Linked DNA regions of Arabidopsis thaliana. The protein of the gene in region 1 interacts with the protein of each later gene in a pairwise test. Each region holds a gene or a part of one and is shown on either strand. Other genes may lie near its edges. The genes, in order: ZML2 and bbx23.

Region 1 (6,097 bases):
AGGGCTCGGCGGAGGTCTTCTGTTCTCTGCGTGTTGTCCATTAACTTGAAGCTAAGCAAAAGATCTTTCTTTTTCCTTTTTTTTTTTTTTCTAAATTTTATTTTTAATTTTGGAAAATTTAAAAAATCCCAAAATTCAGTGAAATTTAGTAACAAAAAGAAAAATTAAAACTTTGAAGATATAACAAAAACCCAAAATCAAAATCATCAAAAAGATCTTTTACAATTTTCCCTATTTTCGAAGATAATAATCTTTTGTCCACAAAGATTATAAGAATATTCTTTTATACCATTTATTTCCAAAGCTTAGCTCTCATAAATTAACTAATAACATTGTAATGTAGTTTATCAGAAAAATTGAAATGTAATGACTGGTATGCTAAAAAGTCAATATAAATATTATTAAAAAATGAAACTATGAGAAGATTTTCAGATTTTCATGATAAGATGAGACAATTCACTAGAAGAGAAAATGCAAGAAATAAGATTTTGTCTATTAAGCTAAAATAAAAACAAAAATGGAATCTAAAATATCTCTCACAAATTGGGATATTTTAAAGTCTCTTTTTTTTTTTTTTTTTTTTTTGATCTAAGGGATATTTGAAAGTCTTTTAGGCAAAATTCTGTGTAAAAATCTTTGCCACTGAAAACAAAGGAGCAGTCACATTCGCACTGAACCATTTTAGTTTGTCTCCTTGTTTTGGCAAGTTCCTTTGGCAAGTTCCTTTGGCTAATAATATCACAATTCACAAGCCTCTTTTTGTTTCTTGACTTAGAGAAGCATGAGGCATTGAACATGGTTCACTTTACATGAGGCTACTAAGTCTCCAAAACAACCCTGTGGTCATAAGGAGACTACTCTTTTGGTGAGTTCTTAAATAAAGTTAGTTTGTCTTTAAAATAGGGTAAAACACAGACTGCAACTAGACGTTACATCAGAGTATGGACCAATGCAACAACAGTCTATAAAGCATTTTTGAATCATAAAAAAAGAAGAAGCAAAACATTGCAGATCATTATCACTCAGATTACATTGTCATAGATCAAATCCTGATAACCTAAATCGAGTCAGATTCTTTCAAAGGGAATGATAAAGCTACAGAACCTGAGGCGATTCAAACTCTGTTGGGATCTTTCTCTTGCTTGTAATGGCAAGAGCCAACATGTCCTCACTGTGAGTTGCTTATGTCATTGGCCACTGTTATCATTATTTGATGATCAGTCTCAAGATTTGCATCCTGCAAAGATAGATCAGACATGCACAAGTTATGATAAAGACGAATGGATTCCTTTTCGTACAACAAATTGTTTGGTCAAAACATGATGTTGCTTACTTCATTCTTATTTAAAGGAAGATTCTGGGCTGTTTGAGGAGAGGCTTTGGATAAGTCCCTAAAAGCACCCTGAAAGTATAAATGTCGTCCTCATTTAGACAGACTAATCATCGAATCACTAGTGCTACAAAATGAGCAAGATAAAGAGAGTTGATCAAATTAAGAAGCAAGTATTGTCTTGCCTTGTTTGCCCACATAAGTCCACATGCATTGCAAAGTGTTCTTGGCCCGGCAGGTCCACGTCGCATCATTGGAGTTGACTTCTCGCCAATTCCACAGTGCCGACATCTTACAGGTATCAAGCCATTCAGAGGAAGTAAAATCAGATATGTTCTTACCAACTAAAGTAAGGCTATCAAGAAGAAAAACTCAAATCTACAAAGACTTAAACGACAATTGTCTATTCCAAAGTTATTATAAAAATTCTCAGTTCCAGGATACAATATTAGTCATCACAACCTGTCTTAACCAATCATCTATCACAGAAGTCATTTTGCTTCAGGCATGGAAGAGCTTTTATATAATATTTTGTCTGTATTGGTCCTTCAATGTTACCAATTCGTATAGGTCCATGCTCATGTTAAATATTACATATGCAATGTGTATGTCTTGATATTGAATCATTGATAGGTTTCAGAGTTCTAGTACCTCTACAACGTTTCTGAAACCAAAAACAACATCTAAGATGCTTAATAAACCTATCATCTCTACATTAGGATGGTTCAGTTTAATAACTAAGTCAGATGCTACATTAGGTTGGAAGCAAAAACAACTTCTAAAGTTGCTTAGCAAACCCATAATAACTACGTTAAGTTGGTTCAAGTTAAAAAGTATGTCAGGAACTCGCAGTTTACTTTCAAAGCATTTCTAAACTTACGAGATCTCTTGATGCTGAGCCTCACTACTTTCTATGGCCCAGGTTTGATTCGACCCCCAGCTAGATCCAGCAGATGCAGCTTCATCATTGTTTGACTTGGCAGATGTGAACTGACCTTTATTGCGTTGCATCCTGTATACCAGAAAACAAAAAGTAATCAAGATGCGAACCTTAATTTTGGGAGAGCAACCATAAAAGAAGTATAACTAGACCAAGTTGTTGATTTAGACATCAATGTACCTCAAAGCTACCTCCTTGCGGACTGTATACCGAATCTTCTTATCAAAATTCCTTCCTTTCCGTTTCTCTCGAAATCTGACCAAAGAAGCTAATCGCTGCGGAATACTAAACCTTTGAGGAGTACCAGGTAAACTCTGTTTCATTGATTAGTCAGTCAGTCAGTCAAGCAATGTATCAAGGAAGGGAACTTATGTCCCATAAATGCCATCATATATTTTATTACCGATACTCTGTTGTTCTGATGAGGTGATCCTAGGCCAGGAGGGGCTGCCTGAGGTAATTCACGACCACCCAATAATAGAAGCACAGCTTGAACCTGCAACAGGCGTCGAATAGCAAGAGGCACTCACACATTAGAATCAATAGATGGAAAAAACTCAAAGCTAACTAGATCCTTCAACCACTTGCTAAAATGTGGCTTGGAGTAAGAATATAAATTCTAATGGAATGAGACAATCAACGAACCAACTCAGTAACAACTTAACTCACCTTCTCAGGCAAGACACTGTCAAAAACGTAGACTTGGCCCTGAAAAGACAATGTTAACTGATCTCCTTGTTCACTACCACGGTCGACCACTTCACCACGATTGTCAGTTACATTTCCAGGGTGAGAAGGAATGTCTGTTTCCACACCCTCACTCATCCCACCAGCATTGCCATCATCAGCCTGGTCATCAACCATACCGCTTCCATTGTGGATGTGATGCAAAGCATGATGTTCAAATTGCACATGCATTGGATCTTGAGCTTCTCTAATGTGCATTCGAGCATTGCTTCCATGTAGGTCATCCATGGTTGCTTTTCATCAATCTACCTAATGATAACAGTGAAAGTAAAACAAATTAACATTAAAACTGGAAACTTCAAACAAAAACACCTAATCTTCATAAGCACGATTCATGGATGACCAGACAAATCAAATCAGCTCTAAGCAAAACATGATTCACATACTATATAACCTTACTTCCTCGGTCATTGGAGCAACTTACATATAAGTTCTAACTAACACTATACATAAATTCAGGAAACCTTATGGATCAATGCTTGTTTTCAAGAGATTAACACAGACTTCTAACATATTTGCATCAATCAGATTCAATCCAAAGTTTCAATATTTCCACGCTCTAAGCCTTACATAAACCATATTATACCAATTCCACAAACTCACTTATAATTTCAACAAACAAAATAAACCCTAAGAAACAAAAGCAAATCCTGAAACAAAGCGACATCCAAAACCATTGAAATATAGGTTCCTCATTACGACACACGAAACCAATATAAGAGTTAAGATGATGTTACCTGTTCGTGGGGAGCAACACCAAAAAGAGAAGAATGAAAGATGTTCGAAAGACCCAAACGAGAAACACCAAATAACACGACGGAAACGATGAAGATGACAATTGAACCGATGGATAACGCCACAAATAGAAGAACAGAGACAAACCAAACCCACCAGAACACCAACGAGACGAAAATGGAAACCAGATAGAAAGAGAAATCGAAGAAAGAGACGAACCAGTGGGGGCTAAAGAGACTCGATTGATTATTTTATCATCAAAAGAATAAATAAGCAAAAGTGCCGGAGATATAAATAAATACTTTTCTTTTGGTTTTTGGGTAAAGTTTCGTTTTTTAATTCTTTCTTCGTCTTCCTCCTTCTAACTACTAAAATCGGATCTATAACTTTTGTTCTTTGAGAGACTTATTTCTCTCTCGGTTTCTTACTCTTTTCGGATCAGAAATTTAAAAGCTTTTAACTTTTGTCTTGCTCTGTTTCATGGACACTGATTTCTCAATTGGTCTCTGTTTTTGTTGAGTGGGTTGAGAAGAGAGATGGCGAGAAGTAGATCGATTAGTGGTTATGGGATATGGAAATATTTGAATCCTGCGTATTATCTTAGAAGACCGAGACGTTTGGCTTTGCTTTTCATTGTCTTCGTCTCTGTTTCTATGCTTGTCTGGGATCGTATTAATCTTGCCCGAGAACATGAGGTATGTTTTGTCTAATGAAATCTGGTTAGACTCTGCCTAGGAGTAGGAGATAGTTCTTGTATCATAGCTTATTGGTAGGCCAATTCGAATTTTGGTGAAGTAGGTTATATGGTTTAGGCCTGGAATGGTTTGATTGCCTTCATAGCTCAAGGTCTATAAGTAAGACAGTTGGTGTTTTATTTACTAGAAAAGAGCTGTAATTAATATCTTCTGGACTCAATTCATGTATTCGTTTATAAGAAGCTATGTAACCAAAATAAGAAAAATGTCAAGGAAGTGAACAATTTCTCTTGTGATCATTCTCTCACTTGTCCTGCTTTTTTTTGTCTTGCAGGTTGAAGTTTTTAAGCTAAATGAAGAAGTTTCACGGTTGGAGCAGATGGTAAGATTAATATTTTCCCCTCACTCTAGGCTCAGATAGTCTTTCTAATGTTTTAGCTAACTAACTATATTTTCCGCTAGTTAGAAGAGCTTAATGGTGGTGTTGGCAATAAGCCTTTGAAGACTCTGAAGGATGCCCCAGAAGATCCAGTTGATAAACAGCGAAGGCAGAAAGTAAAAGAGGCAATGATCCATGCTTGGAGCTCTTATGAAAAGTATGCATGGGGGAAAGATGAGCTTCAGGTATACAATTATTTTCCAAAATACATTTCACCCTTGTGAATACGAAATCTAGTTTACGACGGACTCTATGAATCAAATTTTATTTTGACGTTTAGTGCCTGCTCTTCCAGTATCCTGTTGAGCCTTTTATTATGAGCTTATCTGAAGTTACCAGGCCTACAAAGATTTTGTTAAGAACTAAGATTATTTTCTTCCTGAACTCTGCAAAAAAAATATTGGTCTGAAGCTATTCTTGTTTCTTTCCTTTTTTTATTGTCAGCCTCGGACAAAAGATGGCACTGATAGCTTTGGTGGCCTTGGAGCAACTATGGTAGATTCTTTAGATACACTCTATATAATGGGTCTAGATGAGCAGTTTCAAAAAGCCAGAGAGTGAGTAATTGCAGGCTCTTCATTTATTCATATGTAACTGTTTTCGTCCCAGTTGCAAATCCAACTTTTTACTTCTTCATCTTTGCTAATCTTCATTTGCTTATTGTCTTTTATTTGCAGGTGGGTTGCAAGCTCATTGGATTTCGACAAGGATTATGACGCCAGTATGTTTGAGACAACCATAAGGTGGCTTTAACAGGTTTACTGTGGTTGTTTTCTGTAATTATCGTAGGAAGAGTCAGTTTATTTGCGATTATCAGTTGGTGACATAAGATGGGGAACGGATATTGCATCTGCTTATATTCTTTTTCTTTATCTGCCTTCAGAGTTGTAGGCGGACTTCTTAGTGCGTATGATCTTTCTGGGGACAAAATGTTCCTTGAAAAGGCTAAGGATATTGCAGACAGATTATTGCCTGCATGGAATACTCCAACGGGTATACCTTACAATATTATCAACTTGAGAAATGGAAATGCTCACAATCCTTCATGGGCGGCAGGGGTGAGTCCTAGATTACTGAGTGCCGTGTATGTTGTATTGTGTCATCTTGTGTCATGTAGATCTTTTTAAAGCCTAACCTTGGAATCCAATGATTGGATACAAATCTTTATTCGTTTCTAGAAAAAATGGCTCCTGAAACTCTGTGCACTTGTT
Region 2 (3,600 bases), on another chromosome or scaffold:
TGAGTTTTGGTGATTGAGTAATGTGAATGTTGCAGGATGAAGGGAAGCTGAAGGAAGCACTTGCCTTTGCAAATGCATGTGGAGCAGTGTGTACTACTCAGAAAGGAGCTATTCCTGCACTTCCCACTCCAGCTGATGCTCAAAAGCTCATGAAATCTAAGTCTAAATAGTTTCAATCTTGTTCTGTTCTGTTTCTGTTTCTTCACTCTTGTCAATTTCCTTGGTTTTCACAGAGTATTTTCTCTGTTATCTGAATAAATCTAGTTTCAAGTTTCTGCCAAAATTGATTCCAAACTAATTCATATACCTTGATTTTTAATTACATGACTAATGTTCTATAACAAATAATCAAGAGGCTCTATAATATAAAGAAATGAACATTTTATTGCATATAGAGAAGGTTACAGAGATTTTGGTAGATAGGTTACAAAACATGACACTCCATTTAGCTTACACAATATGAAACTCAAAACTCTTGGATTTATAATAACTCTCTTCAGACTCAGAAAGTAATATATAGTTTCTTCAATATCAGAGTTCTTTGGATTCAGAAGAGCTGATTTTTGCAGTTTGGTCTTCTTCAGCTGCAATGTTAACAACTCTTGGACCCTTAACTTTTTCAGGAGATAGTTTCGTGAGGTTAATAGTGAGCACACCATTCTCAAGCTTGGCCTTGACTGATTCCATATCTACATTATCAGGTAGCTTGAACTGTCTCCAGAATTTTCCATATGATCTCTCCACTCTATGCCATTGATCTCCTTTCTTCTCTTCTTCTCTTTTCCTCTCTCCACTGACTCGTAAAACTCCGTTCTCCTCCACTTCTATCTTTACTTCATCCTTCTTCAAACCGGGGATATCGAGCATTATCTCATGCCCTTCTGCTGTTTCTTTCCAGTCTACTCTTGCTGGAGACAGAGCCACGCTTGTGTCCCTCTCGAGTCCTAATGGGATTCTCTCCAAGATCTTGAATGGATCAGGGAACCGGTCTAGCCAGAGATCGGATAGCAAGCTGCCTGGAGTAGTTTCAAGTGCAGAAGACAAAGACCCTTCACTTGTTTTGATGTTTCCAAGCAACAAAGCTCCTATGAAGAAGATGCTTAGCAAGTGCTTCATCATGGTTAGTGATTTGGATTTATTGTAGAAGGTTGAAACCAAAATTTTAGGCTTTTAACTTCACTTTCTTATTTTGTTTTCTATGATGGTTAGTCTCAATTCTCTGGTGTATATATAATACACATTGTATGAAGAATGAAGAAGTTTCTTGAAATATCTTTCTTTTGGTAGAGTTTTGCAGAGAGAGATATTGAGATTGTTCTAGCTTTTTTGGCTGTGACTTGTACTAATTATGTTACTACACGTTGGATAAGTTTGTTGTGCCTTTAAGGGTCTTCTCTCATGTTCCAGAGACTTCATGTAAAAACTATGGATTGGATTGGGCCTTAATAGTTATTTATATCCAGGCCTATTTTTATTGGCCCATTATGATATTTGGGACCAATTCTGTTTGTGATGAGTCTTAGAATTTTGGCTGCTGCATGGGAAAGGAATGGGAGAGAGTTTGAATGATGCCATGCTCCATTTCAGTTTCTGACAACATTTTAGAGTTTTTGACCTCTATTGCCCTATGGCTAGTTACTTTTAATTCCACAGTCTTTATGCATATTGTGGTCCTGCCTTTACTTTTGGCTTGCCATGCTTGTGTCTTAAGAGAAGCTTGTCGCTATGTTTGTCAATTTATGTTTTCAAAAGAAAGTAAAACTATACAAGCTTCTGAAAAAGATCTTGTCATGGAGATTTTGGTAGGAGAACATTTATTGGTTTAAATGCCACCCAAAGTTGGTCTAATAACCCCATATTGAGATAAAAATTTCGTCTTCGACATATCGTTGTATATCTATATATAGTTCTCTCTTTTCATGAATAAAGATCATCAATTCCTCTTGGTATCAGAGCCAGGTTTTGATATAACTTATGATCCCACCACACATGTGAACTTATTTAAGCTTGTTCTTTCTTGTTTCCTATATTTAGATTCACTCCTTGTCCTAATTCTCATAAATGTCAAAGAACATTTGTTCTGTCTGTGTATTGGCAATTTACATTGATTTGGATTATAAAGTTGAAGGATGAAGATACAATGTGAAGTGTGTGAAAAGGCTGAAGCAGAAGTACTTTGTTGTTCAGATGAAGCTGTACTATGCAAGCCATGTGACATTAAGGTTCATGAAGCTAATAAACTTTTCCAAAGACATCACCGAGTCGCCTTACAAAAAGATGCAGCCTCAGCCACCACAGCTTCTGGAGCTCCTCTATGTGATATCTGCCAGGTTCCAATCTCTTTTCTCTTTAAACACTCGCTGAGCTCTTTAACCGATGTCTCATATATATGTATATGCAGGAGAGAAAAGGGTACTTCTTCTGCTTAGAGGATAGAGCAATGCTGTGCAATGATTGTGATGAAGCCATTCACACTTGCAATTCTCACCAAAGATTCTTACTTTCTGGAGTACAAGTTTCTGATCAGTCTTTGACTGAAAACTCCGAATGCAGCACTAGTTTTAGCTCTGAAACTTACCAGATTCAGTCAAAAGTGTCTCTGAATAGTCAGTACTCTAGTGAGGAAACTGAAGCTGGAAACTCAGGTGAGATAGTACACAAGAATCCTTCTGTAATCTTAAGTCCTTAGAGATATACACACAACATCATGGTTCCGGAGCCATTGATGTTTAATAATAAAAGTTTCTGTAATATATTATCTTACACAGAAGAAAAACTTGTTGAGGAATCAAATCTTTTTGTTACAACAAATATTAAAACCATGACTTAACAACTAAAGTCAGTGGTCATGGCATCGACACAACCAAAGCTAAGTTGTTCCAATAGTTTCAAGAATTGTAGAAATGTGAATACTATTTGAATCGATCTTAGATATATAAACAAAATTTAAAAAATGAATAAATAATTATTGATTAAATATAATTATTTATCTCAAATATCAAGACTTGGATAGAAAATGCATAACTTAATGAGACAGTCATAGATTACTACTATTAGCTCTTGTACTTTCTTTTTGCCTCACTACAAGAACTATAGACCTTGTTGGATTTGAACCAACGTTGGAACATAACTGATTAAGAAGTGACCATTGAGATTCTTCCTCATCATGATCCAATTGTATACATTTATCTTCTCCCACAACGTGTAAAAAAACGTTGGAGACCCCATGCTTACCACGACACACCAAAACTTTGTTCTCCTGGTCGACCAAAAATTTATCCCACTAGCAAACCAAAAAGGCTTGTAGAAACTTTCTCCATGACGCGGCTCCGGTACCGTCAATCTTAGTTGCAATCCCTACATGATACATCTATATCGCCTACTCGCATGCCACGAGTAGCTAACATACAACATTTTTGATCTTCTCTAGTCACTGATAAAGTGATAGGATGATGATAAAAAGGATGATCACCCGGGAGAGACACACTTGTAAATCTCTCTATTGAAAAATCCAAACAAAGTAAGAATTCCCCACTTTCTATGTCTTGCGTGCAAGCAAGCCAGTAAGTATTTCCATTTACAGACATGACATGCTCTTTT

Evidence for each region.
Region 2: the proteins of ZML2 (region 1) and bbx23 interact in binary tests that used the Arabidopsis thaliana proteins (3 or more experiments, as listed by UniProt).

Annotation. Positions count from the first base shown.
Region 1 is NC_003070.9:19,130,324-19,136,420, reverse strand, and holds ZML2 (ZIM-LIKE 2), read right to left. Parts: upstream 4,201-6,097; 5' UTR 3,755-4,200; intron 3,267-3,754; 5' UTR 3,246-3,266; coding exon 2,940-3,245; intron 2,767-2,939; coding exon 2,674-2,766; intron 2,585-2,673; coding exon 2,451-2,584; intron 2,343-2,450; coding exon 2,211-2,342; intron 1,622-2,210; coding exon 1,516-1,621; intron 1,403-1,515; coding exon 1,334-1,402; intron 1,238-1,333; coding exon 1,169-1,237; 3' UTR 791-1,168; downstream 1-790. Other genes in the region: MNS1 (alpha-mannosidase 1), read left to right, coding at 4,289-4,447, 4,782-4,829, 4,910-5,071, 5,331-5,443, 5,564-5,629, 5,770-5,944. UniProt on the Arabidopsis thaliana protein: Transcriptional activator that specifically binds 5'-GATA-3' or 5'-GAT-3' motifs within gene promoters.
Region 2 is NC_003075.7:6,368,056-6,371,655, reverse strand, and holds bbx23 (B-box zinc finger family protein), read left to right. Parts: upstream 1-1,705; 5' UTR 1,706-2,129; coding exon 2,130-2,330; intron 2,331-2,401; coding exon 2,402-2,689; 3' UTR 2,690-2,827; downstream 2,828-3,600. Other genes in the region: AT4G10260 (pfkB-like carbohydrate kinase family protein), read left to right, coding at 36-170; ATHSP22.0 (HSP20-like chaperones superfamily protein), read right to left, coding at 532-1,119. UniProt on the Arabidopsis thaliana protein: Probable transcription factor that may be involved in seedling photomorphogenesis.